Stegostoma tigrinum: one gene and its partners. The protein of the gene in region 4 purifies or fractionates together with the protein of the main gene of each other region. This does not show direct contact. Links are inferred from orthologs where the notes say so. Each region holds a gene or a part of one and is shown on either strand. Other genes may lie near its edges. The genes, in order: vars1, eef1g, elongation factor 2 and elongation factor 1-alpha 1.

Evidence for each region.
Region 1: the proteins of elongation factor 1-alpha 1 (region 4) and vars1 purify together in Homo sapiens (affinity purification with mass spectrometry; 3 studies listed by BioGRID and IntAct, counting the BioPlex papers as one, with this or other methods). This does not show direct contact. The link is inferred for Stegostoma tigrinum from reciprocal best matches to the Homo sapiens genes EEF1A1 and VARS1.
Region 2: the proteins of elongation factor 1-alpha 1 (region 4) and eef1g purify together in Homo sapiens (affinity purification with mass spectrometry; 5 studies listed by BioGRID and IntAct, counting the BioPlex papers as one, with this or other methods). This does not show direct contact. The link is inferred for Stegostoma tigrinum from reciprocal best matches to the Homo sapiens genes EEF1A1 and EEF1G.
Region 3: the proteins of elongation factor 1-alpha 1 (region 4) and elongation factor 2 fractionate together in Homo sapiens (co-fractionation; 3 studies listed by BioGRID). This does not show direct contact. The link is inferred for Stegostoma tigrinum from reciprocal best matches to the Homo sapiens genes EEF1A1 and EEF2.

What each region holds. Positions count from the first base shown.
Region 1 is NC_081387.1:26,737,980-26,744,994, forward strand, and holds the start of vars1 (valine--tRNA ligase), read left to right. Parts: upstream 1-4,005; 5' UTR 4,006-4,115; intron 4,116-7,015. UniProt on the Homo sapiens protein: Catalyzes the attachment of valine to tRNA(Val).
Region 2 is NC_081395.1:5,754,912-5,762,469, reverse strand, and holds the start of eef1g (elongation factor 1-gamma), read right to left. Parts: upstream 3,014-7,558; 5' UTR 2,925-3,013; coding exon 2,913-2,924; intron 2,787-2,912; coding exon 2,628-2,786; intron 1-2,627. Other genes in the region: transmembrane protein 179B-like, read left to right, coding at 7,158-7,253. UniProt on the Homo sapiens protein: Probably plays a role in anchoring the complex to other cellular components.
Region 3 is NC_081383.1:37,094,811-37,102,177, forward strand, and holds the start of elongation factor 2, read right to left. Parts: upstream 3,022-7,367; 5' UTR 2,891-3,021; coding exon 2,888-2,890; intron 1,766-2,887; coding exon 1,551-1,765; intron 1,247-1,550; coding exon 1,065-1,246; intron 1-1,064. UniProt on the Homo sapiens protein: Catalyzes the GTP-dependent ribosomal translocation step during translation elongation.
Region 4 is NC_081357.1:98,948,849-98,956,394, forward strand, and holds the start of elongation factor 1-alpha 1, read left to right. Parts: upstream 1-4,542; 5' UTR 4,543-4,747; intron 4,748-5,611; 5' UTR 5,612-5,649; coding exon 5,650-5,793; intron 5,794-7,546. UniProt on the Homo sapiens protein: Translation elongation factor that catalyzes the GTP-dependent binding of aminoacyl-tRNA (aa-tRNA) to the A-site of ribosomes during the elongation phase of protein synthesis.

The DNA of each region.
Region 1 (7,015 bases), on a different chromosome or scaffold from region 4:
AGTCTTTGAAGTTTGCATCACACGCAGACAGAGCGTCTAAGAAGAGGTTTAGCACACTTACCTTCATTGCTCAGAGCTTTGAGATTACAATTGGGGTGTCATGTTAAGATTGTCCTGGATGTTGGTGAGGCCTCTTCTGGAGTACGGTGTCAACTTCTGATCTTTCTGTTATGGGAAGGATGTTATTAAGCTGGGGAGGGCTCAGAAGAGATTTACCAGGAAGTTGCTGGGAATGAAGCGTTTGAATTATAAGTAGAGGCTGGATAATCTGGGACTTTTCTCACTGGGGCGAAGGCGATTGATGGGTGACCTTAAGGAAGTTTTTAAAATAATAAGTAGTGTAGATAAATCAGAATGGTGAGTGTCTTTTCCCTAGGGAGGGGGGATTTCCAGACTAGGGGGTACAGTAGCTCAGTGGTTAGCACTGCAGCCTCACAGCACCAGGGACCCAGGTTTGATCCCACCCTCGGGTGACTGTGCAGAGTTTGCACGTTTTCTCCGTGTTTGCGTGGGTTTCCTTCAAGTGTTCCGGTTTCCTCCCACAGCCCAAAGATGTGCAGGTTAGATGGTTTGGCCATACTGAATTGCCCACACATCTGTAGGTTAGGTGGACTAGCCATGGGCAATGCAGGGCTACAGAGATGGGATGGGGCGTGGGTCTGGGCAGGATGCTTTTCATTTGTGTGGACTCCATGAGCTGAATGGCCTGCTTCCACACAGTAATGGATTCTATAGTGGGTATAATTTTAAGGTGAGAGGAGAAAAATTTTAAAAAGACACGAGGGGACTTTTTTTTTGCCCAGCGAGTGCTTCGTGTGTGGAATAATTTTCCAGGGGAAATAGTGGATGTGTGTATAGTTGCAACATTTAAGAGACATTTGGATAAGTACATGAATAGGAAAGGTTTGGAGGGATATGGGCCAGGAGCAGGCAGGTGGGGCTAGTTTAGTTTGGGATTATGATTGGCATGGGCTGGTTGGACCGAAGGGTCTGTTTCCGTGCTGTGTGACTATATATAAGTGTGAGGCTACAGTCATGAAGGTGCATTTATTTAATATGTTAATTTGTAATATGGAAGCATTGATAGTATTGGGGCTGGCCAGGCCTGAAAGCAGCGTAAAACGGCTGGGAAGATTTTTAGCTGAAGCAGTAGTTTGTTTAGTTTGACATTTAAACTTCAACTATGAGCTGTGGTAATCGCAGTGTCTGGCGCTGGAATACATCCAAGGTACAAGATTAATGCAGTCCACAACAGGGCCGTGCACTCAAAACAGAAAGGGTGGTGTTGAGTAGCTGCTGCCTCTGTTTGTACAGAAATAGATGGATAAGGAACGTCTTTGAGGATGCTGATTGAAAATCCTATACTACGTTTGTTCAAAGTCTGGGATTCAGCCCAGGGTAGGAAGGAAGGGCACAATGCGGAGGTGTTCTGCAAAGCGGTCCCCAAGCCTCCACTTATCCCAGGCCCCAAGATGACTTTCCATATTAAGCAGAGGTTCATCTGCACATCTACCAATGTGGTATACTGTATCCATTGCACCCAGTGTGGCTTCCTCTACATTGGGGAAACCAAGCGGAGGCTTGGGGACCGCTTTGCAGAACACCTCCGCTCGGTTCGCAACAAACAACTGCACCTCACAGTCCTAAACCATTTCAACTCCCCTTCCCATTCTTTAGATGACACGTCCATCATGGGCCTCCTGCAGTGCCACAATGATGCCACCCGAAGGTTGCAGGAACAGCAACTCATATTCCGCTTGGGAACCCTGCAGCCCAATGGTATCAATGTGGACTTCACAAGCTTCAAAATCTCCCCTTCCCCCACCGCATCCCAAAACCAGCCCAGTTCGTTCCCCCCGACACTGCACCACACAACCAGCCCAGCTCTTCCCCTCGACCCAGTGCATCCCAAAACCAGCCCAGCCTGTCTCTGCCTCCCTAACCTGTTCTTCCTCTCACCCATCCCTTCCTCCCAACCCAAGCCGCACCTTCATTTCCTACCTACTAACCTCATTCCACCTCCTTGACATGTCCGTCCTCCCTGGACTGCCCTATCCCCTCCCTACCTCCCCACCTATACTCTCCCCTCCACCTATCTTCTTTTCTCTCCATCTTCGGTCCACCTCCCCCTCTCTCCCTATTTATTCCAGAACCCTCTCCCCATCCCCCTCTCTGATGAAGGGTCTAGGCCCGAAACGTCAGCTTTTGTGCTTGAGATGCTGCTGGGCCTGCTGTGTTCATCCAGCTTCACACTTTACTATCGGGAATGATGGCTGGATATGAGGGGAAATGTGAATAATGTAGAGATGATAGAATTTGTGGTTAGCACTGCTGCCTCACAGCATCGGGGACTTAAATTTGATCCCACCCTCGGACAACTGTCTGTGCAAAGTTTGTACGTACTCCCCATGTCTGCATGGGTTTCCTCTCACACTGCAAAGGTGTGCAGGTGAGGGTGGGATTGGCCATGCTAAATTGTCCCATAGTGCCCAGGGATGTGCGGGTTAGGGTGGGATTGGCCGTGCTAAATTGTCCCATGGTGCCCAGGGATGTGCAGGTTAGGGTGGGATTGGCCGTGCTAAATTGTCCCGTAGTGCCCAGGGATGTGCAGGTTAGGGTGGATTGGCCGTGCTAAATTGCCCCATAGTGCCCAGGGATGTGCAGGTTAGGGTGGGATTGGCTGTGCTAAATTGTCCCATAGTGCCCAGGGATGTGCAGGTTAGGGTGGATTGGCCGTGCTAAATTGTCCCATAGTGCCCAGGGATGTGCAGGTTAGGGTGGATTGGCCGTGCTAAATTGTCCCATAGTGCCCAGGGATGTGCAGGTTAGGGTGGGTTGGCCGTGCTAAATTGTCCCATAGTGCCCAGGGATGTGCAGGCTAAGGTGGACTGGCCGTGCTAAATTGTCCCATAGTGCCCAGGGATGTGCGGGTTAGGGTGGGTTGGCCGTGCTAAATTGTCCCATAGTGCCCAGGGATGTGCGGGTTAGGGTGGATTGGCCGTGCTAAATTGTCCCATAGTGCCCAGGGATGTGCAGGTTAGGGTGGATTGGCAAACTAAATGCCCCGTGATGTCCAGGATGTGCATACCATTTGGATTAGCTGTGTGAAATAGAGGGTCACACGGATAGGGCAGGGTGTTTACATCTGGGTGGGATGTTCTTCGGAAGACGGGTTTGTACTCTGGGCTGAATGACCTGCTTCCACACTGCAGGGATTCTATGAATCCAAATGTTAAGAATATCGACGTATCACTCCTGGGTTGTCTGGGAATTATTTGGTGCATACAGGAAATGACTTTCCAATAAAAGAGGGAATAAACAGCTGCCACCATAAACTAATGTTAGATGACCTCCAGGTCTCCTCCCTGCCTGAATTACAGGTACCGCAACAGGAGAAGATTTGAGGATGAAGAATCTGCCGGGACTGTGGAGTCTTGCATTAATATCCGGAAGCATGGGACCAATATTGGAAAGAGCAAATGAGGAAGTACAACCGATGGATCGAAGGGAGACTTTAAGGACTATGGGCTTTATTTGCTCTGTCAGATGGGACATGTTACACCGGGGGGAATAGACGATGATAATGCATAGCTTGTGGTCGATTTCGGTAAGGGACATTAAGTGTGTGCGGTGTTCTACAGGCAGCCTGTTGAATGTGTGTCAGAAAAGGTGTTAAAATGACAGTTTTATGCACTTTTGGAGTCTTTTGTTCCCCTCCCCATGTTCAGTGGACTACAGAGAAGGGGGTGGGAAATAGTGTGTAGATATTATGAATATGTAGGGGTGCCAGTAATATCATTACATGTCTGTTTTCACCGCACTCCTACCACCCCCACCTCCGAGAAGCGGGAGGGAGGATGGGAGGGGGGACAGAGAGGAGGGGGAGAGAGGGAGAGTTGGGAGTCGGGAAAGGGGGTTGCGGTGTGTCAGTGAGCTGCTCCTTGTGCAGTTTGTATTGGATTGTTCCGCAGTTACCAGCAGAGGGACTCCTCAATGCGGATATTACAGAGCAGGAAGCTCCCTCCCACCACCCCCTGTCTCTCTCTCTCTGTCCTCACGCCGGCCTGGGCCGAGGGAGTCTATTCTACCCGGGGAGCTGCGGCCAGGACAAGAAGGTTCGTAACCTCGCCCTGGCTGGGGGCTGGGGGCTGGGGGCTGGGGACAGAGACAGAGACAGAGCCAGAGCTGCATTTAGCGGCAGCAGAGGGAGCAAGAAAGAGCCATGTGTCATTTTATAAAAGTGATACTGGTGAGGGATTGGGGGGAGTCTCAGAGTGGGGCAGGGACAGAGGGAGGGGAGTAGGGGATGGCAGGGACAGAGGGAGGGGAGTAGGGGGTGGCAGGGACAGAGGAAGGGAGGAATGAGAGGATGGGCAGGGGAGAGGGAAGAGAGAGAGATGGTGGGGGTTGTCGGGGAGAGAGTGATCCAGGCGCTCCCGTGCTGGGAGGGCCTGCCTCCCCCACCCCGAGCCTCGGGTTAATCCACCGCCGCTCTTGTACCACCCAGTCCCGGGCTCTGAGCTGACCCTCTCCCGCTCAGTACCAGCACCGCTGGCTGGGGCTTTAGCTTTCATTTACCTTATTGCACCCTTTTTTTTGCTGCTTTGATTTTGCTTATTGCGCCTTGCTGGCCCTGGGAGGTGAGTGTATCTCTACCTCTTAATTCCCTGCCTGTCTGTGCCCTGAGAGCTGATGCAACCGGCTGTAACTTTGCAGCACATGCTAAAATACTTTATCAAGCTGTGGGTCTGCTTCTTTCACATCTGTCTGCAGAACACCACCCGCTCCCTCCCCCTCCTTCTTTATTTTCTTCCCAGCCCCTGATTGCCCCTCGGGCTGAATGCCTTGTTGGGAGAGTCAGTCCCATTTGCTGGTCACAGATTTCCTCACCTAAATACCATCCATGTTGTATACTGTTTTTGTTGTTTGCAGTACAGATGCTCATCTGCAGTCATTTGCTCCTCTTTAAACAGCTGCATGGATGGTGGAACCTGGAACCCCCAGACTTTCTAGGCTCAAACTGCCAACAGGTCCCCCACCCCCATCATCCCCACTTTGTACTTTTATAAATATTTCTATCATTTTACTTAAATTAAGGAGGGATTTGAACCCTAGTCGCTAGTGCATTTGGATTTTCAATCCAGTGAAATTACCACCAAGCCACCATCTCTATCTCTCTCTCTCTCTCTCTATCCTCCTTCCCCCCCACCCGCCCCAAAACATGCGTATTAAACACAGCAGGCCGGGCAGTATCAGAGGAGCAGGAAAGCTGACGTTTCAGGTTTACACCCTTCATCTGATGCTGCCTGGCCTGCTGTGTGTTCCTCCAGCTCCACGCTCTGTTATCCCATTTTGAAATGCTGTTGGCGGTGGAGCAGTATTTATTTTCTAATGAACCTGCTCAAGGATGTTGACTTAGACATGCATTGCCAGGCTCAAGAGCAGCTTCTTCCCCACTGTCAGTCTGAACAAACTCCTCAAATTGCAAATTTAATGTTGACTCCACCCTTTGTGCACCTTCTTAACTTTGCATTCCTTGCTCTGGATGTGAGTTTGCTCGCTGAGCTGGAAGGTTAGTTTTCAGACATTTTGTCACTTTTTTTTAATTTGAAAAAATATACTTTATTCATAGAATGTACAAAAAATAAAACATTTATACACCTACTCAGTCATGCAAGGCACTCCGGGTTACCCAGGGGGTACGTACACCAACTAAAGGCAAAAACAAAACAGAGAAAAAAAAAACAAATCAAAGAAAATACCGCGGCAGTCGTCACCCCGCACAGTCCCCGTTGGCCCTCTGACCAGTTGGGGAAGGCGCCAGCTGGGCCCAGTTACCAGATAGGGTTCTTTTCCCTTTTCTGGATGAGGGGGCTCATACGGTGGTCTTTCCCCACCGCGCCCTGGCGGCGGCTGCCCCAAACTTTAGTGCGTCCCTCAGCACGTAGCCCTGGACCTTGGAGTGCGCCAGTCTGCACCACTCGGTCGGGGTCAGTTCTTTCAGCTGGCAGACCAGCAAGTTGCGGGCAGACCAAAGAGCGTCTTTCACCGCATTGATGGTCCTCCAGGCGCAGTTGACATTGGTCTCGGTGTGCGTCCCCGGAAACAGCCCGTAGAGCACGGAGTCCCGGGTCACGGAGCTGCTCGGGACGAACCTCGACAAATACCACTGCATCCCCCTCCAGACCTCTTGCGCGTAGGCACACTCCAGAAGGAGGTGATCAACAGTCTCGTCCCCTCCGCAGCCACCTCGAGGGCAGCGTGCGGTGGCGCAGAGATTCCGGGCATGCCTAAAGGATCTCACTGGCAGAGCCCCTCTCACCGCCAGCCAAGCAATGTCCTTGTGCTTGTTTGAAAGTTCTGGCGATGAGGCATTCTGCCAAACGACTTTGGCAGTCTGCATGGGGAACCACACGACGGGATCCACCCTCTCCTTTTCCCGAAGGGCCCTAAGGATACTACGTGCTGACCACTGCCTGACGGCCTTGTGGTCAAAGGTGTTTCCTTTCAAAAATTTCTCCACGAAGGACAGGTGGTACGGGACGGTCCAACTACTCGGAGCGTTCCACGGCAACGAGGCCAGGCCCATCCTTCGCAACACCGGGGACAGGTGGAACCTCAGTAAGTAGTGACACTTGGTGTTTGCGTACTGAGGATCTACGCACAGCTTGATGCAGCCGCACACAAAGGTAGCCGTCAGGGCAAGGGTGGCGTTCGGTACGCCCTTTCCCCCATTTTCCAGGTCTTTGTACATGGTGTCCCTGCGGACCCGGTCCATCCTCGACCCCCAAATGAAGTGGAAGATGGCCCGGGTGACCGCAGCGGCGCAGGTCCAGGGAATAGGCCAGGCCTGCGCCACATACAACAGTACCGAAAGCCCCTCGCACCTGACAACCAGGTTCTTACGCGCGATGGAGGGGGACCGGAGCGTCCACCTGCCCAGCTTCTGCTTCAATTTGGTGATATGCTCCTCCCAAGTCTTAGTGCACGCCCCAGCTCCACCAAACCAAACACC
Region 2 (7,558 bases), on a different chromosome or scaffold from region 4:
AAATATATTCAAGGCTGAGATTAGCAGCCAGAGCCAGACCCCAACCCTTGGAGGAAATGCCCTCAACTCCATCGTAAACAGAAGACCCCCATATTGTGGAGCTGCGCCTTCTTCATTCCCCTTCCCAGAATTTTCTCAGAATCCGCCCCATCAAACCCCTCTCACAATCTTGAGTGTTCCAACAAGATCACCTCTCATTCTTTCAAACTCTTGAGTAAAGGGCCAACCTACTGAACCTTTCCTTCATCTCAGGAATGAGCCAAGTGAACCTTCTTTGAACTGCATCCAATGCAATTACATTCCTCTTTAAGTAAGGAGACCAAAACTGTACACGAGACTCCAGGTTCAAGCTCACCATTACCTCGTACAGGTGTGGTGACACTTCCGCACTTATATTCCACCCATGCCTCTAACCCCCAGGTGCCCATTATTGGGGGATGAAGTGCAAATCACCCACTGAATAACAATGGAATAGACTCAAAGCACCAAATGGCCCCCAGTCTACAACTGAGACGGTTCTGACTGCAGGGAGAGAGTGTTGTTACTTGAGCCACGCCGACAGCAGGCTGCACATAGCACAGTCATTCATCCGTCACTAACAACTAGGTTCAATTCACACTCTCGCTGACATGTTGCTGACACCAACAGATTGCCCTGATCCAGTGAGGTCATGGCAGCATCAAGCACTATCCCTGCTCCTGAGCCTGCCAGGATTTGAGACAGGCAGGTCCACTCGACGTCAGACAATCCTGCTCCACATCCAAACAGCCAAAATGTGAGACTCCAATAATTCGGGATTGGTGTGCTGGCAGGGATATACATTAAAAATCACTGAAAAATGGGGGCAAGGAGTGAACAGTAGCAAACTCCACACATATTTAAAATCTGTGACACGGCCCCCCACCACTGAGAAGGGCAAGGGGAGCAGATAAATGGGAGTACCCTCCAAGACACATCACAATAATTCAGAAATATATCCGTTGATCCTACATTGTTGCTGGATCAAAATCCTAGAACTCTTTTCCTAACAAAACCGCGTATGTCCCTACACTCCACAGACAGCAGAGGGTCATGAGAGCTTGCCATCGCCTCCTCCAAAAGGCATTTAGGCCAAAAAAAAGACATGGTGATGGAATATAATACCATACAACAGAGAAGTGGACAGTCCCCCTTCCCCCAATAATCCCTTCACAGCAGGGCTGAATATTCAAGACAATCTTGTTGGATCTGTACAAAACTTTAGTAGGGACACACTTGGAGTACCATGTGCAGTTCTAGCTGCCCTACTATAGAAAGGATATTATTAAACCAGAAAGAGAGCAGGAAATATTTACTAGGATGCTGCCTAGGCTGAAGGTTTGAGTTATAAGGAGAGGCTGGACAAGCTGGGGCTGTTTTCCCTGGGGTAGGAGACTGAGGGATGACTTTATGGAGGTCTATAAAATCCTTGAGGCATTGATACAGAAGGTAGCCAACAGCTTCTCCCCATGGGGAGTCTAAAACTACAGGGCACAGGTTTAAGGTGAGAGGAAAGATACACAAAAGGGTCCAGAGAGGCAATTTTTTCAACACAGTGGTCAGTGTCTAGAATGGGCTGCCAGAGGTAGGAGTGGACGTGAGTACAATTTTGACATCGAAGAAATGTATGGGGAGGGATATGGACCAAATGCAGGCAACTTAACTAGATTAATTGCAAAAACTGGGTGGAATGGTGAAGGAGGACCAAAGGGCCTGTTTCCATGCTGAAAACCTCCATGACTCTACAGTGACGGTATTGTTTTGTAAGTGAATGAAAAGTGATTTACTATTGGCGTGATGGCAGGTGGGGGGGGAGCGCAGCAGGATGGGGGAGCAAATTAAGGGTGGGCTGATGGGGGGGGGATTAAGTGTGAGGATGTGGGCGATAGGAGGGTATCGGTGCTGGGGACAAGGGGGGAGTTGGGGGCGGGTGAGGATGGAGACATAGGGGCGAGTGGCAGGGACGGAATGGGGGGGCAGGGACGAATGGGGGGGGCAGGGACGAATGGGGGGGGGGCAGGGACGAATGGGGGGGGGCAGGGACGAATGGGGGGGGGCAGGGACGAATGGGGGGGGGCAGGGACGAATGGGGGGGGGGGCAGGGACGAATGGGGGGGGACAGGGACGAATGGGGGGGGACAGGGACGAATGGGGGGGACAGGGACGAATGGGGGGGGGGGACAGGGACGAATGGGGGGGGGGAGACAGGGACGAATGGGGGGGGGGGACAGGGACGAATGGGGGGGGGGGACAGGGACGAATTGGGGGGGGGACAGGACGAATTGGGGGGGGGGACAGGGACGAGATTGGGGGGGGGGACAGGGACGAATGGGGGGGGGGACAGGGACGAATGGGGGGGGGACAGGGACGAATGGGGGGGGGGACAGGGACGAATGGGGGGGGGACAGGGACGAATGGGGGGGGGGACAGGGACGAGGGGGGCAGTGAGGGGGGGTGTGTGGAGAGGGGTATCGGGGTGGGGAGGCAGGGGGTGATTTGGAGGTGGGGAGGCGAGGTGTTACGGGGATGGAGGGGGTGGGGGGTGGGTTGCGATCTCCCCTCAGCCCGGGGCTTGCTCCGGATCCCCTGTCCCGCCCCGACAGACTGACCTTGCCGAGGGGGAACTTGTGCAGGAAGGCGGCGCTCCTGTTGGTCTGTCCGAAGGTGAAATGCGGCGGCCCGCTCTGCAGCCGCAGCTTGGAGCCGCTGTACTGGGCGGCGATCAGCGCCTTGTAGGCCCGCCAGTTCTCCGGGTACGAGTACAGGATCTGCGGGAAATGAAGGCACACGGCTCAGTGAGAAAGGCCCGCCGAGCTTTCGGGACCGCCAGCCGGGTTCGCGGAGCCGGGATGGCGCCGATACACCGCGGATTGTAACCGGGAGCCAGCACTTACCCCGTCCGCCATGTCGCCGGGGCGCCGAAGAGAGAGAGAGCCGCCTGACTGACGGCACTGTCGTAAACCCAGGGGGCGTGGCCTTTGTGATGATTGACAGTAGCCGACCACCACCCCTAGACTGAACCAGAGCTAAAAGCTGGAGAGATAATGGGAACTGCAGATGCTGGAGAATCCAAGATAATAAAATGTGAGGCTGGATGAACACAGCAGGCCCAGCAGCATCTCAGGAGCACAAAAGCTGATGTTTCGGGCCTAGACCCTTCATCAGAGCTGGAGAGACAGGATCATCAGGACCATGTCAAAAGCTCCAAAAACTTCTCCCTAGACAACAAGGTGTAGAGCTGGACGAACACAGCAGGCCAAGCAGCATCAGAGGAGCAGGAAAGCTGATGTCTTGGGCCTAGACCCTCTTCAGAAAGGGTCCAAGTCCGAAACGCCAGCCTTCCTGCTCCTGTGATGCTGCTTGGCCTGCAGTGCTCGTCCAGCTCTACGCCTTGTCATCTCAGATTCCCCAGCATCTGCAGTTCCCGCTATTTCAAAACCTTCTCCCTGACTACCTCTGCCTGCTTCCAGCTGTGCGTCTCCTTCCTCTGGGCAATGGGTCAAAAGGCAGGCATTTGGGAAATAGGCCATGTGCCACAGGACTGGAGGGTTTCAGCTGCAGGGAGAGTCACAGAGAGGCACAACACTGAAACAGAGCCAGGGACAATAAGGACCACAGATGCTGGAAGCCAGAGTCTACAGGTGTGAGGCTGGAAAAGCAACCTGGCAAAGGGTTTTTGGCCCAAAATGTTCACCTATGTGCCCCACCGATGCTGTCTGACCAGCTGCGCTTTTCCGGCTCACACCTATAGTAAACAGACCCTGCAGTACAACTCACCCATGTTGACCAAATATCCTAAATTAAGATAGTTCCCGTTTGCCAGCATTTGGCCCATATCCCTCTAAACCCTTCCTACTTAGATACCCATCCAGATGCCTTTTAAATGTTGTAACTGTACCAGCCTCCACCACTTCCTCTGGCAGCTCATTCCATACATGCACCACCCTCTGTGCGAACAAGTAAGAGGTTCAATAGGCTGGGGCTATTTTCCCTGGAGCATCAGAGGCTGAGGTTTATAAAATCATGAGGGGCATGGATAGGGTGAAGAGCCAGGGTGGGGGAGTTCAAAACTAGAGGACATAGATTAAAGGTGAGAGGGGAAAGATTTAAAAGAGACCTAAGAGGCAACTTTTTCACAAATAGGAATAGGCACATGAATAGGAAGGGTTTGTAGGGGATACGGGCCAAATGCTGGTAAATAGGACTAAATTAACTTAGGATATCTGGTCGGCATTGATATGTTGGACCAAAAGGCCTGATTCTAAGCTGTATATCTTTCTGACCCTATCAGCCCTAATATCATTGAATGGCAGAACAAGCTTGAAGGGCTGAATGGCCTACCCCACTCCTTTCTTCTGCTGTTTTGTTGTTTTGCTGTTAGGTTACGCCAGGCAGGTGGTATCAACATAATTCCATTTGGAACAGGAAGCAATCCATTCGGCCCATTCATTCCTCTCCCACCCCCAAATACTCCCCTTTAAAAGCTGTGCCCAGCACGAGCCCTCCAGCCCTACATTCCCACAACCGTCCCCCACCCCACCCCTTGCCACCCCAGAACCCACACACCCACAATGTAGAGGATACCACGGTATATGAGGCTATGGAGCAAATGCTGGAACAAAAAGAGAAGTTGCTGGCGAAACAGAGCCGGTCTGGCAGCATCTGTGCAGAGAGAGGCTGCATTAATGATCTGGTCTAGTGACCCTTCTTCAGAACTTCTGACCGCAATGTTCTGAAGAGTCGCCAGGGTGAGGATCCGCGGGAAGTTTTATTTGTATGCTAAAAAATGGGATTAAATGGGTGGCTGTTCGATGGCCAGCACGGATACAGCGGGTCGAAGGGCCACTTTCTAACCCATGAAAACTCCATGAATCAATGATTCTAGGAGATGGTTCTCTTCAAGTGGAAAGTTCCTCTTCCAGATTCAGAAGACAGCTCACTCTTTGCGATCCTCCAAGCGAGAAGAATGTGGATGCCCAATCACTGTGTGTGTTCATGGTTTCTAGCTGTAAAAGACATCAAGGAATATGGGGAGCATGAGGAAAATGGTCCAGACGTAGATTGGCCATGATCTCGTGGAATGGTGGAACAGGCTTGTGGGACTGAAGACCTTATCTCTGCTCCGTTTTAGGGTTTATTAGAACTGTGCGCCTGGTTGCAGCTTTGCTGATTGACTGTTCAGGAATCAGAGAGCTGAATTGTCCAGAATTTCCATGTTCCAACACCTTCCATTTGTACCTGTTCACATGTCCTGTCCTGTGGCAAAGCCCTCTCCTGCTGAATCTGTTCATGCTGACGGAGAGGCACATTGTTGGAGACTGAATCATTTTACTGCTGTCTGCAAGGATAGTCCTGAGCTGATGGTGACAATCGAAAGACTGTATTTCTGACAGTAAAGAGCTCCCTCAGCACGGACCCACTGACAGAGCCCAGTCCCTCAGCACTGACCCACTGACAGTGACCGCTCCCTCAGCACTGACCGTCCGACAGTGCCCGCTCCCTCAGCACTGACCCATGGACAGTGCCCATTCCCTCAGCACTGACCCTCTGACAGTGCCCGCTACCTCAGCACTGACCCACCGAAGTGCCCACTCCCTCAGCACTGACCCACAGACAGTGCCCGCTCCCTCAGCACTGACCCACTGACAGTGCCCGCTACCTCAGCACTGACCCACTGACAGTGACCGCTCCCTCAGCACTGACCCTCTGACAATGACCGCTCCCTCAGCACTGACCCTCTGACAGTGCGGCACCCTCTCAGCACTGACCCTCCGACAGTGCCCGCTCCCTCAGCACTGACGCTCCAACAGTGTCCGCTCCCTCAGCGCTGACCCTCCGACAGTGCCCACTCCCTCAGCAATGACCCTCCGACAGTGCAGCACTGCCTCAGCACTGACCCTCCGACAGTGCCCGCTCCCTCAGCACTGACCCTCCGACAGTGCCCGCTCCCTCAGCACTGACGCTCCGACAGTGCCCGCTCCCTCAGCACTGACGCTCCGACAGTGCCCGCTCCCTCAGCACTTACCCTCTGACAGTGCGGCACCCTCTCAGCACTGACCCTCCGACAGTGCCCGCTCCCTCAGCACTGACGCTCCGAAAGTGTCCGCTCCCTCAGCACTGACCCTCCGACAGTGCCCGCTCCCTCAGCACTGACCCTCTAACAGTGCCCACTCCCTCAGCAATGACCCTCCGACAGTGCGGCACTGCCTCAGCACTGACCCTCCGACAGTGCCCGCTCCCTCAGCACTGACCCACTGACAGTGCCCGCTACCTCAGCACTGACCCACTGACAGTGACCGCTCCCTCAGCACTGACCCTCTGACAGTGCCCGCTCCCTCAGCACTGACGCTCCAACAGTGTCCGCTTCCTCAGCACTGACCCTCCGACAGTGCCCGCTCCCTCAGCACTGACCCTCTAACAGTGCCCACTCCCTCAGCAATGACCCTCCGACAGTGCGGCACTGCCTCAGCACTGACCCTCCGACAGTGCCCGCTCCCTCAGCACTGACCCACTGACAGTGACCGCTCCCTCAGCACTGACCCTCTGACAGTGCCCACTCCCTCAGCACTGACCCTCTGACAGTGCCCGCTCCCTCAGCACTGACGCTCCAACAGTGTCCGCTTCCTCAGCACTGACCCTCCGACAGTGCCCACTCCCTCGGCACTGACCCTCCGACAGTGCAGCACTGCCTCAGCACTGACCCTCCGACAGTGCCCGCTCCCTCGGCACTGACCCTCCGCCAGCGCCCGCTCCCTCGGCACTGGCCCTCTGACAGTGCCCATTCCCTCAGCACTGGCAGTGCGTTTCAGCCTTAAGGCTAGCCTGTGGTTCCCAGACCCCCCAACACAGAGAGGTGAGCCCCACTCCCCGGGCACGCAAGTACCCTACCCAGCGGTGACACTGTGCAGGAAATAAAATCAACAACTTTTGTGCCATTTCGTGCGTGAACCCCTGGGAATGCAAAATGCAAAGTGAGCTTTGCAATTGGCAAATTGGAGAGTCTGGGGGTTGGACTGGCTGTGTCATTCAGCAAATGAATGTCAGGTGAGGGAAGGGGCTGTACCACGAACACAGATCCCCTCCCCTCTGAAAACTAAAACTTCTTGCAGTTCCGTGTTTCTGTGATCTGTGTTAGGAACATGGCGTTTTCTCTCCTTCTGTGCCTGGAGTTCTCGGTTTACGCAGCGGCGTTTATTTGTGGTATTGTCAGCGCTGCTCTAGTCACAGTTACCCAGGTAGGGACTCAGCTGGGAGGGGGGAGAGAGAGAGAGAGAGAGAAGAGAGGAGAGGGGAGGGGAGGGGAGGGGAGGGGGGAGGGGAGGGTGGGTGCGTGCGTACGTACGTACGTACGTACAGAACTACACAGTGACACGAGCCCTCAAAAATTGTTTTTCTGACTTAAATATTAACCTGGACTTTGCTAGATAACGTGAGCCCTTGCCCAGTAGTATAACTATAAAGTTTGGGACAGAGTGTACAAATGGTTCTAGGAGGGTCGTTGACGCCACTTGGAAGATTTTCAGATGTGTAGCTCCTTCTG
Region 3 (7,367 bases), on a different chromosome or scaffold from region 4:
CCAGCATCCTGTAGGTACAATTCAGAGACAGCAGGACTGCAGACGCTGGAGAAACTGAGATAACAAGGTGCAGAGCTGAATGAACAGAGCTGGCCAAGCAGCAGGGGAGCAGGAAGGCTGATGTTTCGGGCCTAGACCCTTCTTCAGAAATGCTTCTTCCTTCTCCAGAATTTCTGAAGGAGGGCTTAGGCCCAAAATGTCAGCCTTCCTGCTGCTCTGATGCTGCACCTTAGTATAGTGCACAGCTCAGTTTCAAAACAGGAGTCAGAATGTCATATCACAAGTGTAGCCAAAAAAACCCACTTAACCTAAATCCTTGACCAAGTACAGCACATCATTCGGCCCATCAAGTTAACATCAAACCTCAAGTGCATCCCAGTCAGACCCACCTACCTACCTTATCTATGTAACCCTGCATTTCCCATGGCTAATTCTGTAGGGGCCTGTAGTCATGACTAAGTGGCTACGGCAGTGGGTTCAAAATCCATTGGGTCTCCCTGCACAGGTTCAAACCCTGCTGGCTACATTTAGAAGCAGCATGGTGGCTCAGTGGTTAACACCGCTGCCTCATGGCACCAGGAACCCAGGTTCAATGCCACACTCAGGTGACTTTGGACTGTGGGAGGAAACCCATACAAAGTGGATTGGCCATGCTAAATTGCCCACAGCATTCAGGGATGTGCAGATTAGGTGGGTTAGAGAGTTATGGGTCTCGGCAGGATGCTCGGAGGGCCATTGTGGACTTGTTTCCACACTGTCGGGATTTTATGAATAATCCACCTAGCCTGCACACGATCGACAATTTAGTTTGGCTACTCCACCTAACCTACACATCTTTGTACTGTGGGAGGAAACAGAAGCACCTGGAAAAAAATCCATGCAGACACGGTGAAAACGTCTGCATGGAGTTTGCACAGTCGCACAGAAGTAGAATCGAACCCAACTCCCTAGTGCTGCGAGACAGCTATGCTAACTACCATGCTGCTCAATATGCCTCAATAGTGTGACTTCATAGCCAAGCCATTCTGCAAAATGCTGGCCACTGGCATGATTATATCACTTACCAGAAACACAGTCTACCACAACTAGAGCACCATCAGTTACACGCAGAGCAGCTGTTACTTCTGAGGAAAAGTCAACATGCCCAGGTGAGTCAATCAGGTTGATGAGGAAGCCACTGCCATCCTTGCTCTGCTTGATGAAAGCTAAATCTTCTTCCTTGAGTTCGTAAAACAGGGAGATGGCACTGCACAAAGATACAAATTGCTAGTTATTCCTTGAAGCAAAAGGAGCCAGCACCAAGTTTTATAACGAGAGCAGCAGTTACATAACACTATGCGGGTTTATTAGAATTGGTATTCCAGTATAGCAAGATACACATGAAAGGAGATCATGATGAAGTTAACAGCTATGCTCAATTGCCAGACTTTGGCACATAGTTGTAGAATCTCCTTGCAGCATTACACCAAATTTTCCCCACTGACTTGGACACAAAGCCTACAAATGCAAAGTGCAGCTTGTTAACTAAAACTAAAAGTGTAGTCACTCACGTTGACTTAATGGTGATGCATCTTTCTTGTTCATCCTTGCGAGTGTCAGTGAACCTAGTTTCACCAGCACGGGAAGAGGCAATGATTCCAGCTTTTGACACCAGAGAGTCAGTAAGGGTGGATTTGCCATGGTCAACATGTGCAATCACAGACATGTTACGTATGTTGGACTTTTTGTCCATGATGGCACGGATCTGGTCTACTGTGAAGTTCACCTGGAAATTGATATTACAATACCATGACTACAAAGTAAACTGGGGATATCAGTAAAGCAGTGGTAGTAGTCAAATTTGGCTAAATCACTGCACCATACGTGAACCCAAGACAAGCCTCCCATCCCATGAAGGAAAGGAAACAGGACTGGCCCCATGTTATTCCCTTCACCACCAGAAAAATAGGCATCTAAGATCCATCAGAACGCACTAAACCATCTATAACGCGGCATCGATATCAAGTAATGCAAACCGACACCTCACGGCAAAAAAAACACGCAACATACAAAAAACCAACAGATTCAAGCTAAAACATACCATAATTGATCTTTTAAAAAAAAAAGAGGGATTGCGATCAATACCCTGCATTAAAGATCGACCCGAGACGTCACGTGTTAAAACACACAAAAGCCGTTTCTGGAAACCCGATCACGTTAATGCACCGTGTGCCGCAATCAATCCCATTTCTCCAACAGGGCGAGATGAGTCAGGCTGGAGCCGCTGCCAAACGACATGCACAGGAAGGAGCACAGCCAATGCCGGGGGGGGGGGGGGGGGGGGGGGAGAGAAGGAAGCCACGTCCCCGGTGACATTCACCCTGAAGCCGGGACAAGGGCCACCTTCGGTTCCACGTGGCGGTGGGGACTGGGACAGGGCTGAGGATTAAACAGTCGCCGGTTCTTACCGGCCGACCCACCCCTCTCCCCGACCCGCAGATAAACACCCGCCTCCTAGTGACGCACAACAACACCCGGGGGGGGGGGGGGGGCGCGCCGGAAACCCGGTGACAGCTCCGTCCCTGCCTTCTCCCCACCTTGGACCCTCACTGCCAAATAACAACCCGCTCCCCCACCAACACCTTGCCCCATGGCAGAGGCAGTAAAACCCCCACACCCCTCCCCTAATCCGTTCAACTTCAATCTGATTGCGCATCACGGCGGGCGGGCCGCACAAGAACCACCCCCCCCCCCAACTTTGTCGGGCCCACTAACGGGCCCCCTCTTCATCTACGAAAGAGACAATATCATCGTCGGGAGGAAGGCATCCAGTCTCAATACCGCACTGAAAATATCGATGGAAGCGCCCGACACCCATTCCCACTCGATGGAGACGTCGCCGATTTACCATTTTGCCGGATGGGGCTGGATTGCTTCGTTCTCAAGCTCCGGCTTCTGTCCGCCTCACCGAACGGGCGGATAAGAAAAGGACCGGTTCCAGCAACTTCCGGCCTTTTACCAGCCGCAGCTGCGTCACGTGGTCCCGCCGTAGGTACAGTCCTCCCAAACAGGCGCCCCCTTGCGGGTCTGTCTGAAAAGACAAATACAAAGGCGTGCACCCACAACTTTCTGATAGTAACGGACCGATTCTGTCTTCATGCCATGATGCTGGAATCTGAAATAAAATCAGAAAGTTCTGAAGAAACTCAGCAAATTTGGAGAGAGAAATAGAATTAATGTTTAGAATCTAACATGACCTCTTCAGAACTCACATTGGGGTTGAAGTAGGCCAAAGGAAAGTGAGCTTAAATTCATCAGAATTGGAAGCTATTTTAAGGTTTCATAGAATCAAAGTGTGGAAAGAGGCCATTTCATCCCATTGAGCCTGCATGGACTCTGAAGAGCATTGCACACAAACCCAGCCCTCACACCCATCCCAGGAAGCATGGCCCATCCACCTAGTTACCATAACGTTTGTATGTAGGCTTGCAGAAACACACTGCAATGAAGATATAGAAACATATCTGGAGTATGAGGTCCACGTCAGCAAGGTCCGTTGATTTGAGGATAACATCTACTCTGTGTCACTGGTTCTGATATGTGTCTTCACATGGCTGAATAGGTAATATCCCACTCCGCACATTATTTTCATGGGACAAGATGTGCCCAAGGCATTGGGAACTGGAGTGCAGAATTTGTTCTTTTTCCCCTTCTCTGCTGCTGCTCTGCCTCATCATTTAAGTGTGTGATAGAGAGCTGCTGCTTGATGGAGAAGTTGCTTTGCGTCTGGTACAAAGCTGGATGGTGACTTTGGAACCAAGAGACACTATCCCAAAGTAAGGGGCTAGCCATTTAAAGAGTTAGAAGAGGAGAAATTCAGAGGAATTAACCTTCAGAATTTTTTACTCGGAGTCTGTGGAGATTCAATCATTGAACATTTCAAAAGCTTTTGGGATTTTAATGACACAAGGTACAGGAGGAAGTGGGCAGGAAAATAGACTCCGACACAAGGTATAGGAGGAAGAGTGCAGGAAAATAGCATTGTGGTAGGTGATTATCCATGATGTAGTTGAATAACAGGCTAAATAGCTTCCCATTCCAATGTTCTGATGAGTTACAAGCTCCTCCCAGTCATTAATGTCAACATTACTGTACTTCAGGAAGAGCTGCACGGTATTTTAAGTTGTTTTAGAGATAGTAGGAACTGCAGATCCTGGAGAATCTGAGATAACAGCGTGTAGAGCTGGATGAACACAGCAGGCTAATCAGCATCAGAGGAGAGGGAAGGCTGAAATTTCAGGCCTAGACCCTTCTTCAGAAATCTGAAGAAGAGTCTAGGCCCAAAACGTCAGCCTTCTTGCTCCTCTGATGCTGGTTGGCCTGCAGTGTTCATCCAGCTCTACACCTTGTTATCCCAGTATTTGAAGTGTTTTCTTTGTCCTCCGTGTGTGAAAAAAGGATGACAAGGGAGACGCTTTTCAGTCATCGAAACATATGTCCAATCCATTGAAGGTGGTGTTTCAGAGTTCCTTTGCCTGAATACTAGGACAGCTGACTTCAGGATAGACAGATATAGTAAGAACTGTCGATGCTGGAGTCAGAGATAACAGTGTGGAGCTGGAGGAACACAGCAAGTCAGGCAGTATTAGAGGAGCAGGAAAGCTGATGTTTTGGGTTGGGACCCCTCTTCAGAAAATCAAGATGGAAAGTTGTGTTTGTTCAACAATCCTCCCATTGGATGTGGAGAAGGCATTGCTGAAAGAATTTATCTTCATCACAATCCTGCAATTGTTTCATATTGGCTAGAACTGCCTTGAAGACTTAAAAATCAGGAGCTTGATCAAGCAAGACCATGTGATATCTTCCTATAATGCTTACAATATACTCGATAATGGTTGTTCAAAGATCAAATGCCATTTGGTGTCAGGATAAAATGCCACCTGAATGAAAACCTCAGCTATCACTTCTGTGTCATATCTAAACTGACCAGCATGAATGACTGCAGTGTCATACCCCCACTGCACTGCACCGGATTGAAACTCAACTGGACCGCAGTAAATCATTTGTCATATTCTGAAACTTCAAATTTACACCTAAGAAACTTGACATGCATAAATGTCCAAAGAAAACGCATCAGCTCAATCAGCTAAATATTCCACATCCAATACATGTTGGAGGTGAACCTCTGGAATATTGTGAATGTATGGTATACACTGTCCAATTTGGTTTGTTTTCAAACATTTAGTACAATGTTCATTTCATTAAGTTATTTGTTGAAATCAGAGTCCAGGGCTCCAATGACAAAACCTCTGAAATCCTTACCAACTATTAATCACACTCTGATGTCTCCTAATATACTACACTTAATGCTGACCACTTCTAGCTGTGCAATAATTAATTTAGCATTTGCCACCTTTCCCACATAAACAGAACTTATGAATGATGTGCAACAGCAAGACAGATGATGTCACAGGTTGTATATAGAGAAACAAAAAAAAGGAAACTGCAAGGGCAAAGGATAACGTGCCATAGTGATACAGAATTTCTCTGAATGACTTCTTGAACTGTCTGAATAATTTTTATATTAGAACATACAAATATTTAAAATTTGCGAATGACACTATTGCATTCCAAGGAGAACCCGAAGGACAATGTGTTTAACACCAGCAGGAGCTTTATTAGTGAGGTGTTCATTTTAGAGGAAGTTAAGAGTGCTCTTTCCCCACCCAAAATGACAAATGAGATCACCATTATGCCTCATAATCAAATTCTTAAAGTGACAGGCAAGCATTTGTGCATCGATCTACATTCAACTGACGACAGGCTTGACTAAGGTTAATTTTATTGATGATGTGGCGACAATGGCCTTGTGGTATTAATACTAGACTGTTATTCAGTGACTCAGGTTTGAATCCTGCCACAGCAAATGGTGAAATTTGAACTCAATAAATATATAAAATTAAAGAGTCTAAGATGACCATGAATCCATTGTCAATTGTCAGAAAAACCCAACTGGTTGACCAATGCCCTTTAGGGAAGGAAAGTGCTGCCCTTAACTAGTCTGGCGTACATGTGACTCCAGATCCACAGCAATGTTGTTGACTCATAACTGACCCTGGGCAATAGCCAGCAACATCCTAATTCTATGAATGAATTAAGAATTAAAATCAAAAGCTGACTGCAGCTAGTCTAGCAAATAGGTCAACGATTAAAGGCAAAGTACATGTTCAGCATATATTACCTGATTAACAGTGACCTTAAACATCACCATAGATAGTTACTAGTATGATAGGCATAACCCAAACACTCACATTTATGGGTTCAAAGACTTCTGTCTTCATCAGCCTCTCTCATCTGCCTTGACCTTTGGTCTAATTGCATAAGGCACCGATTTAGACTTGGAACATTTTGCTTGACTCTCATCCTTAATTCTCAATTTGACAGATCTATTCCTTGCTTGCCACATCTCCACTGAAAACAATGGCTTATTTATTTAGAATTTGTGATTGATCAGTTTCAGAATATGACGAATGATTTCCTGCGGTCCAGTTGAGTTTCAACCACATTCTTCCCAAGAAAGCTGGAAAATCTCCTTGTGTAAAAGTGTAAGGATATATCTTCGGACTGACTATAACTCAATATTCACATTGACACACCTTAAAGGCACCACCTGAGGGTGTTCTTAATACAATTTTTGAGAGTTACAGTACCATGTGATCCAGCTACTTTGAATGCACACTTTCAGGTATCAATGAAACTGCCACTCCAATCTTAGATAACAAAGTGTGAAGCTGGATGTACACAGCAGGCCAAGCACCATCAGCGTTTCGGGCCTAGACCCTTCATCAGAGAGGGGGATGAGGAGTGGGTTCTGAAATAAATAGGGAGAGAGGGGGAGGCAGACCAAAAATGGAGAGAAAAGAAGATAGATAGAGAGGAGAGTACAGGTGGGGAGGTAGGGAGGGGATAGGTCAGTCCAGGGAGGACAGACAGGTCAAGGAGGCGGGATGAAGTTAGTAGGTAGGAAATGGAGCTACTAACCTCATCCTGCCTCCTTGACCTGTCCATCCTCCCTGGACTGACCTATCCCCTCCCTACCTCCCCACCACCTATCTTCTTTTCTCTCCATCTTTGGTCCTCCTCCCCCTCTCTCCCTATTTATTTCAGAACCCACTCCCCATCCCCCTCTCTGATGAAGAGTCTAGGTCCGAAACGTCAGCTTTTGTGCTCCTGAGATGCTGCTGGGCCTGCTGTGTTCATCCAGCCTCACATTTTATTATCTTGGAATTCTCCAGCATCTGCAGTTCCCATTATCTCTACCACTCCACTCTTACTCATTTATCATTCAGTAAGACAGCAACCCACTATCAGCTCCTCTGTGGACTGAG
Region 4 (7,546 bases):
AAGCTGAAACACCGAAGGATGTGGGGTAATTACTTGTGCATGTGACACAGAAAGCTAGCAGATAGATAATCGGGAAGGCTCATGGAATGTTGTCTTTTTATTTCAAGGGATTGCAGTAGAAGAGTAGAGTTATAGAGTCACATAAGTCTTGCTGCAACAGTACAAGATGCTGATGATACCACATCTGGAGTGTTGTGAACAGGTCTTGTTTCCTTTTTTAAGCAAAGACATCATTTCATTGGAGGCATTTCAGAGAAGGTTCACTTGGATTAGCTCCAATATGGAGGGATTGTCTTCTGAGCAAAGGCTAAACAGGTGGGGACTCTATTCACTGAATTTTAGAAGAATGAGGGATTGTCTCATTGAAACATGAAGGATTCCGTAAAGGTTTAACTGGGTAAGAATTGAGAGGATGTTTCCCTTCATGGGAGGGTTTAGGACCAAAGGGCATAGTCTTGGAATAAAGGGTTATCAATTTACGACCGAGGATGAAGAGGAAGTTCTTTTCTCAGCTTGTGATTCTCTGGAATTCTTTACCAAAGTTCTGTTTTCATGCCATCATGATTGCCTTTATTTCAGTTTAAAATACCGGACTTGAAGTTATACTTTATCTTCTCAAGCTGAAAGCAAAATTCAATCGTACAATGGTTGTTGCTCACTAAGGATGCCATCATTAATAGGTCATTCATTTATCCTATCTCATTGTACAATACCAGATCTAGAATAGCCTGACATCTGGTTGGCTCCTCAGTGTACTATCTTCAGAAATTAGCTGAGAAAAAGTCCATAAACTTCTCATCTAAATTGCTTTTGCCTATCCAATATTTCCAGTCCATTTGCAGATTAAAATACCTGACATTATTGCTGTACTTTTACATTCTCATTATTTCTCCTGTACATACTTCATCCTGTTTTGTGGTTACTATTAGGGGACCTGTACGTCATTCCCATCATCTTATCCATGCCGATCAAGTTTCCCAAACTAAACTAGTCCCACTTGCCTGCATTCGGTCCATATCCCTCTAAACCTTTCCTATTCACGTGCCTGTCCAACTACTTCTTAAATATTGTAACTGTACCTGCATTCACCACTTCCTCTGGTAATTTGTTCCACATAAAAACCATCCTCTGTGAAAAAGTTGCCCCTCTGGTCCCTTTTAAGTCTTTGTCCTCTCACCTTAAAAATATGCCCACTAGTTTTGAACTCCCTCACAGTCAGAAGGGTCTGTTTCCATGTTGTATGTTCTCGATGACTTGACTTCATCATTTAACATTTCCTACTTCTACAATTACTTCTCCATGTGCTATTCTAAAAACTCAGGACATGCCTCTTTGTTGTGCTAATACCATCATCAATTAACACAGCTACACCTCCCCCTTTTCCTTGCTTTCTATCCTTAAATGTCTTGTGATCTTCAATATTCAGGTCCTAACCTACCTCAGTCCACAGTCATCTCTCTCTGTAATGGCTATTGTATTTCACTTACTTAATTATACTTGTGCTCGGTTTTCTTTTGCTATGTGCATTCAGATACTGAGCCTTTAGTTATTATTTTTCTAATCTTTCGAACAAACAGTGGATTTACTCATGGATTAGTATTCTCTGTTCCTTTCCATCATGGTCTGTTTATCATTTTCCATATTAACACCATTGTGTCTTCCTTCCCATGCTTTTTGGGAAGATGCAGTAAATCAAATTTGATCCTTTGTCCTCATCATTTAATTTAAAACCCTGTTCCTGGTTATTTGGCTTAACACAGAACTGGACCTTGTTGAATGCTTTATGAAAATCCAAATACACCACATCTACTAGTTCCCCTTTGTCTATTCTGCTAGTTCCATTCACATTGACAAACATAACTTTCCTTATATAAATCCCTTTTGCCATTGCCTAAACTTACCATTATTTTCAAATATGCAGTTAGCACATCCTTTATAATTCATGATTGTATTTCCTGATGACAGATATCAGAATAACAAAGCTACAGTTCCCTGTTATCTTCGTTCTTAAATAGTGGAGGTATATTTCCTACTTTCTAATCTGTACAGATTGTTTCACAGTCTTAAAAAACTTGAGATACGGTCATTTAAGGGTCATTACTTTTATAACACTCTTTTCAACATTGAGATGTAGATCATCAGGTTCAGATGCTACATTTTTAGTAATGCTAATTTATTTTGGTTTCCCATTTTCACTAATTCAGGTTCTGTCATTTCCAGGTGACTGTTTATATTTTCCTCCGTGAATACAAGATACAAACTATTTGTAAATTTTCTGTCATTTCCTTATTCTTTATTATAAACTGTACTGACTCTGCCCTGTAATGGGCCCACATTTGTCTTTATTAGTCTTTTCCTCTTTGGATACATGTACAGAAGGTTTTATGATTTTTTTTTTTGCTCTTTTACCTTTGTATTGTATTTTCCCTTCATCAGTTTCTTGGCCTTGCTTTGCTGAGTTCTAAGATATTCCCAATCCTTACGCTTTCTATTTTTTTGGCAACTTTATAAGTCTCTCTTTGAGATCTCCTAGAACTTTTTCGCGTTAGCCATGGTTGAATCATTTTTGTGGTTAGGTTTTTATGCCTCAAAGGAACGTATATTTGCTGTAAATAATTTATTAATTCTTTAAAGGCTAGCCAGTCCTTGTCTTTGGTTATAACCTTGACTGTCTGTCTTTAATTTGTCTGTCATTGCTAGAGGGATGGAGTTTAAAAACAGGGAGGCTATGCTGCAGCTGTATAGGGTCCTGGTGAGGCCACACCTGGAGTACTGTGCAGTTTTGGTCTCCTTACTTGAGAAGAGATATACTAGCACTGGAGGGGGTGCAGAGGAGATTCACTTGGTTGATTCCAGAGTTGAGAGGGTTGGATTATGAGGAGAGACTGAGTAGGCTGGGAATATATGCATTGGACTTCAGAAGAACGAGGGGAGATCTTATAGAAACATACAAGACTGTGAAGGGAATAGATAAGTAGAGGCAGGGAGATTGTTTCCACTAGCAGGTAAAACTAGGACTAAGGATCATTGCCTCAAAATGAAGGGAAGCAGACGTATGACTGAGGTTAGGAGGCACTTCTTCACCCAAAGGCTTGTGGATTTGTGGAATCCCCTGCCCAGTGAAGTGGTTCAAGCTACCTCACTGAATGTTTTTAAGGCAAGGCTAAATAAATTTTTGAACAGTAAAGGAATTGAGGGTTATGGTAAGCGGGCGGGTAATTGGAGCTGAGTTTTGAAAAGATCAGCCATGATCTTATTGAATGGCGGGGCAGGCTCAAGGGACCAGATGGCATAGTCCTGCTCCTAGTTCTTATGTAATGTACTTTCTCAGTTTACCATAGCTAACTTGTCCCTCATTCAGAAATGCACGTTGATTCGGTCACCAGTAGAGTACAATGACCTATATAGTTCTATCATAACCAGTCTGTTCTTATGGTTGAACCTCAAACTTGCCAAAAGTTCTGGTAATTCATCCCTGAATGCTCCTTTACAAGATTATTAATCAGTCTTTTCTCATTGCACAAAAATGGATCTAAAGTAATCTAATCTTTACTTGGTTCCTTGAGAAGACTATTTTCAGGAATTCCTTCTCATAGCAATGGTGCCAATCAGTTTTCTCAAGTCTATATGTAGACTGAAGTTCTCTGTGATTACGCTATCATTGTTACATGCATCTCCAGTTTTATTAGCACTACTGTTTGGTGGCCTCTAAACAACTTGCACCAGGTTTCGCTGCCCGTCCCTGTTTCTTAGCTCCATCTGAACGGATTCTAGATATTGATCTTCCAATCTAAGATCTTCTCTCACCAATATCTCCTGAACAGATGAAAGGGATTGAGCTGGCACTATGGGCTATTTGGTGAAGATGTGGGGGAGTAGCACAGTTGGTGTTTGGTTGCTGGTGTTTCAAAACGGTTACTGTCACCCACAAACACGTGTGGTTCACTTTTAAACTTGGTGTATAAGTTAACTCTTGAAATATCCCTTCAAAATTTGGAGCGGGGGGGTGTACATATGCACTAATACACATGGCACTTCACCCCTTTACCCCCCACCTCAACCTGCCACACTGCTCTCAGTTGATGCAAATTTGGTACATTTGTTAGTGTGGCAAAGCTCACAGTGAGAGGCCAATGGCGACAAACTCTCACATCTCATCAAACAGAACAGGTTATGTTTTACGTGAGATAACATAAGATGCCAGCAGACTGGGGGAAACAACCCTTTTAAGCGATTGGCAAAAGGTGAGTTTTTCTTTGGGGCTGCGGTGGAGGATTACCTGAGGGAAAAGTTTTCAGAGCCGCTGGAAGGTTAGCGGGGGGCGTCGGGTCATTGGGTGGGACAGGGAGGGTGGCTCCCCGTTGAGGCAGCACAGACACATCGGGCTGAATGGCCTCCTGCGCTGTGTGGGGGCGATGATGTTCTCTCGGTCTGACCCAAACCCCGCCGTCGAATCGTTCAGGCAGCGGGCGAGCTCGAGCTCCAGTCACGAGGGGGCGGAGTCGGCGCACGAGGGATGGGCACGGATTGTGTGTGTTGACCGCGGGGGGTCGCAATTGAAGTCAATCGGCGGACCCCCTTCTTCCCAACGCCCACCCGCTGGCGCCTATTAATAGCCGTGACGCAGCCGCTTTCCGCCTGTTTGCCGAGCGTGTGTGGAGCCGGTAGGGTGTAGGGTGGCCTTTTGGCTCGACGCATTGACCTATTGCGGGCGGGCGGTAACCACCTCCACTCCTCCATCGAGAAGGTGAAGCGGTGAAAGAAACGGGATGGGTGGTGGGTGGGAGTGCTGCTGTTGGAGGAGATGGTGTGACCGGGTTGGAGGGATTCGAAGCTGTGGGCCAGCTTCGTTAGCCGCGTCCCCTTTAGAAGGCGGCGGCGGCTACTAAACGGGTTTCGGTTCGAATTGGCTAATTTCGGGGTGAATCGAGAGACAGAGAGAGAGAGGGAGGGAGAGGGGGGGACCCCTAACGACCCCAAATATTCTAATCTTCTATTACCGGAGCAGTCTTTTCTCATCCCCCCCCCCCACCTGGCGTTCGCTTTTCTGTGGCATCGTTAGTATAAAATTGGAGGGGGGGGGGGTGCAGCCGACAAGTGGGCGGCGGCGGGGCTTTTTATTTTTTTTGAAGGTTTTTTTTCTTATACCGTTTTACCGCAAACGTTGGTGATCGTTCGGCGAAGGTTACGGGTGGAGCTTGTCCCTGACCCTGTCCGGAGGAACCGTGTGTTGGGGGTGGGGGCGGTTCGGTGCCCGTTGGTGAGAAAATGGCCGGTGTGTCCGTGCGGTTATTGTCAGTCAAAATGGAGGAGAGCAACATCAACTGGAATGGGGGCGTTGGAGAGGGAAAGGCAGCAGGTATCTTTATCACTGTAACAATTCGGAGAAATGACGGAGATGCGCTTAAAAAAAAGGAGGGAAAGCGGCTGAAGATCGAGAGAGGCGCTCTTTCTCCCCCTCCCCCCCCTTACAGGAGGAGATGGCCACTGTCTTTAGAGTAAATCCACCGACTCCTGTAATTTGGAGATTTGGTATGGGGAGAAGGCGTCAGTATTGCGTTTTTTTTTTGGCTTCCTAACTTTTTTCTCCCAATTTAACTCCCATCCCTAGTTCCTTAAGGCTGAGGCAACAACCCACTGGCAAAAGCAATGGGTAAGGAAAAGATCCACATCAACATTGTTGTCATTGGCCATGTGGATTCTGGCAAGTCCACCACCACTGGCCATTTGATCTACAAATGTGGTGGCATTGACAAGAGAACCATTGAGAAGTTTGAGAAGGAAGCTGCTGAGGTGAGAAAGCAAGAGGGTCAACTTTATAATGAAATGAGAGGCTGGATGAACACAGCAGGCCCAGCAGCATCTCAGGAGCACAAAAGCTGACGTTTCGGGCCTAGACCCTTCTTCAGAGAGGGGGATGGGGTGAGGGTTCTGGAATAAATAGGGAGAGAGGGGGAGGTGGACTGAAGATGGAGAGAAAATAAGATAGGTAGGGAGGGGATAGGTCAGTCCAGGGAAGACGGACAGGTCAAGGAGGTGGGATGAGGTTGGTAGGTAGGAGATGGAGGTGCGGCTTGGGGTGGGAGGAAGTGATGGGTGAGAGGAAGAACAGGTTAGGGAGGCAGATACAGGTTGGACTGGTTTTGGGATGCAATGGGTGGAGGGGAAGAGCTGGGCTGGTTGTGTAGTGCAGTGGGGGGAGGGGACGAACGGCTGGTTTTGGGATGCGGTGGGGGAAGGGGAGATTTTGAAGCTGATGAAGTCCACATTGATACCATTGGGCTGCAGGGTTCCCAAGAGGAATATGATTTGCTGTTCCTGCAACCTTTGGGTGGCATCATTGTGGCACTGCAGGAGGCCCGTGATGGACATGTCATCTAAAGAATGGGAGGGGGAGTGGAAATGGTTTGCGACTGGGAGGTGCAGTTGTTTATTGCAAACCGAGCAGAGGTGTTCTGCAAAGTGGTCCCCAAGCCTCCGCTTGGTTTCCCCAATGTAGAGGAAGCCACACCGGGTACAGTGGATGCAGTATACCACATTGGCAGATGTGCAGGTGAACCTCTGCCTAGAATACACCTCCTCCCACCCACCCTCCTGCAAAAATTCCATCCCCTATTCCCAATTCCTCCGCCGCATCTGCTCCCACGATGAGGCATTCCACTCCCGCACATCCCAGATGTCCAAGTTCTTCAAGGACTGCAACTTCCCCCCCACAGTGGTCGAGAACGCCCTTGACCGCATTTCCTGCAACACATGCCTCACACCCCGCCCCCGCCACAACCGCCCAAAGAGGATCTCCCTCGTTCTCACACACCACCCCACCAACCTCCGGATACAATGCATCATCCTCCGACACTTCCGCCATCTACAATCCGACCCCACCACCCAAGACATTTTTCCATCCCCACCCCTGTCTGCTTTCCGGAGAGACCACTCTCTCCGTGACTCCCTTGTTCGCTCCACGCTGCCCTCCAACCCCACCACACGCGGCACCTTCCCCTGCAACCGCAGGAAATGCAACACTTGCCCCCACACCACCTCTCTCACCCCTATCCCAGGCCCCAAGATGACTTTCCACATTAAGCAGAGGTTCACCTGCACATCTGCCAATGTGGTATACTGCATCCACTGTACCCGGTGTGGCATCCTCTACATTGGGGAAACCAAGTGGAGGTTTGGGGACCACTTTGCTGAACACCTGAATCATATTCCTCTTGGGAACCCTGCAGCCCAATGGTATCAATGTGGACTTCATCAGCTTCAAAATCTCCCCTTCCCTCACCGCATCCCAAAACCAGCCCAGTTCGTCCCTTCCCCCCACTGCACCACACAACCAGCCCAGCTCTTCCCCTCCACCCACTGCATCCCAAAACCAGTCCAACCTGTCTTTGCCTCCCTAACCTGTTCTTCCTCTCACCCATCTCTTCCTCCCACCCCAAGCCGCACCTCCATCTCCTACCTACCAACCTCATCCCACCTCCTTGACCTGTCCGTCTTCCCTGGACTGACCTATCCCCTCCCTACTATCTTCTTTTCTCTCCATCTT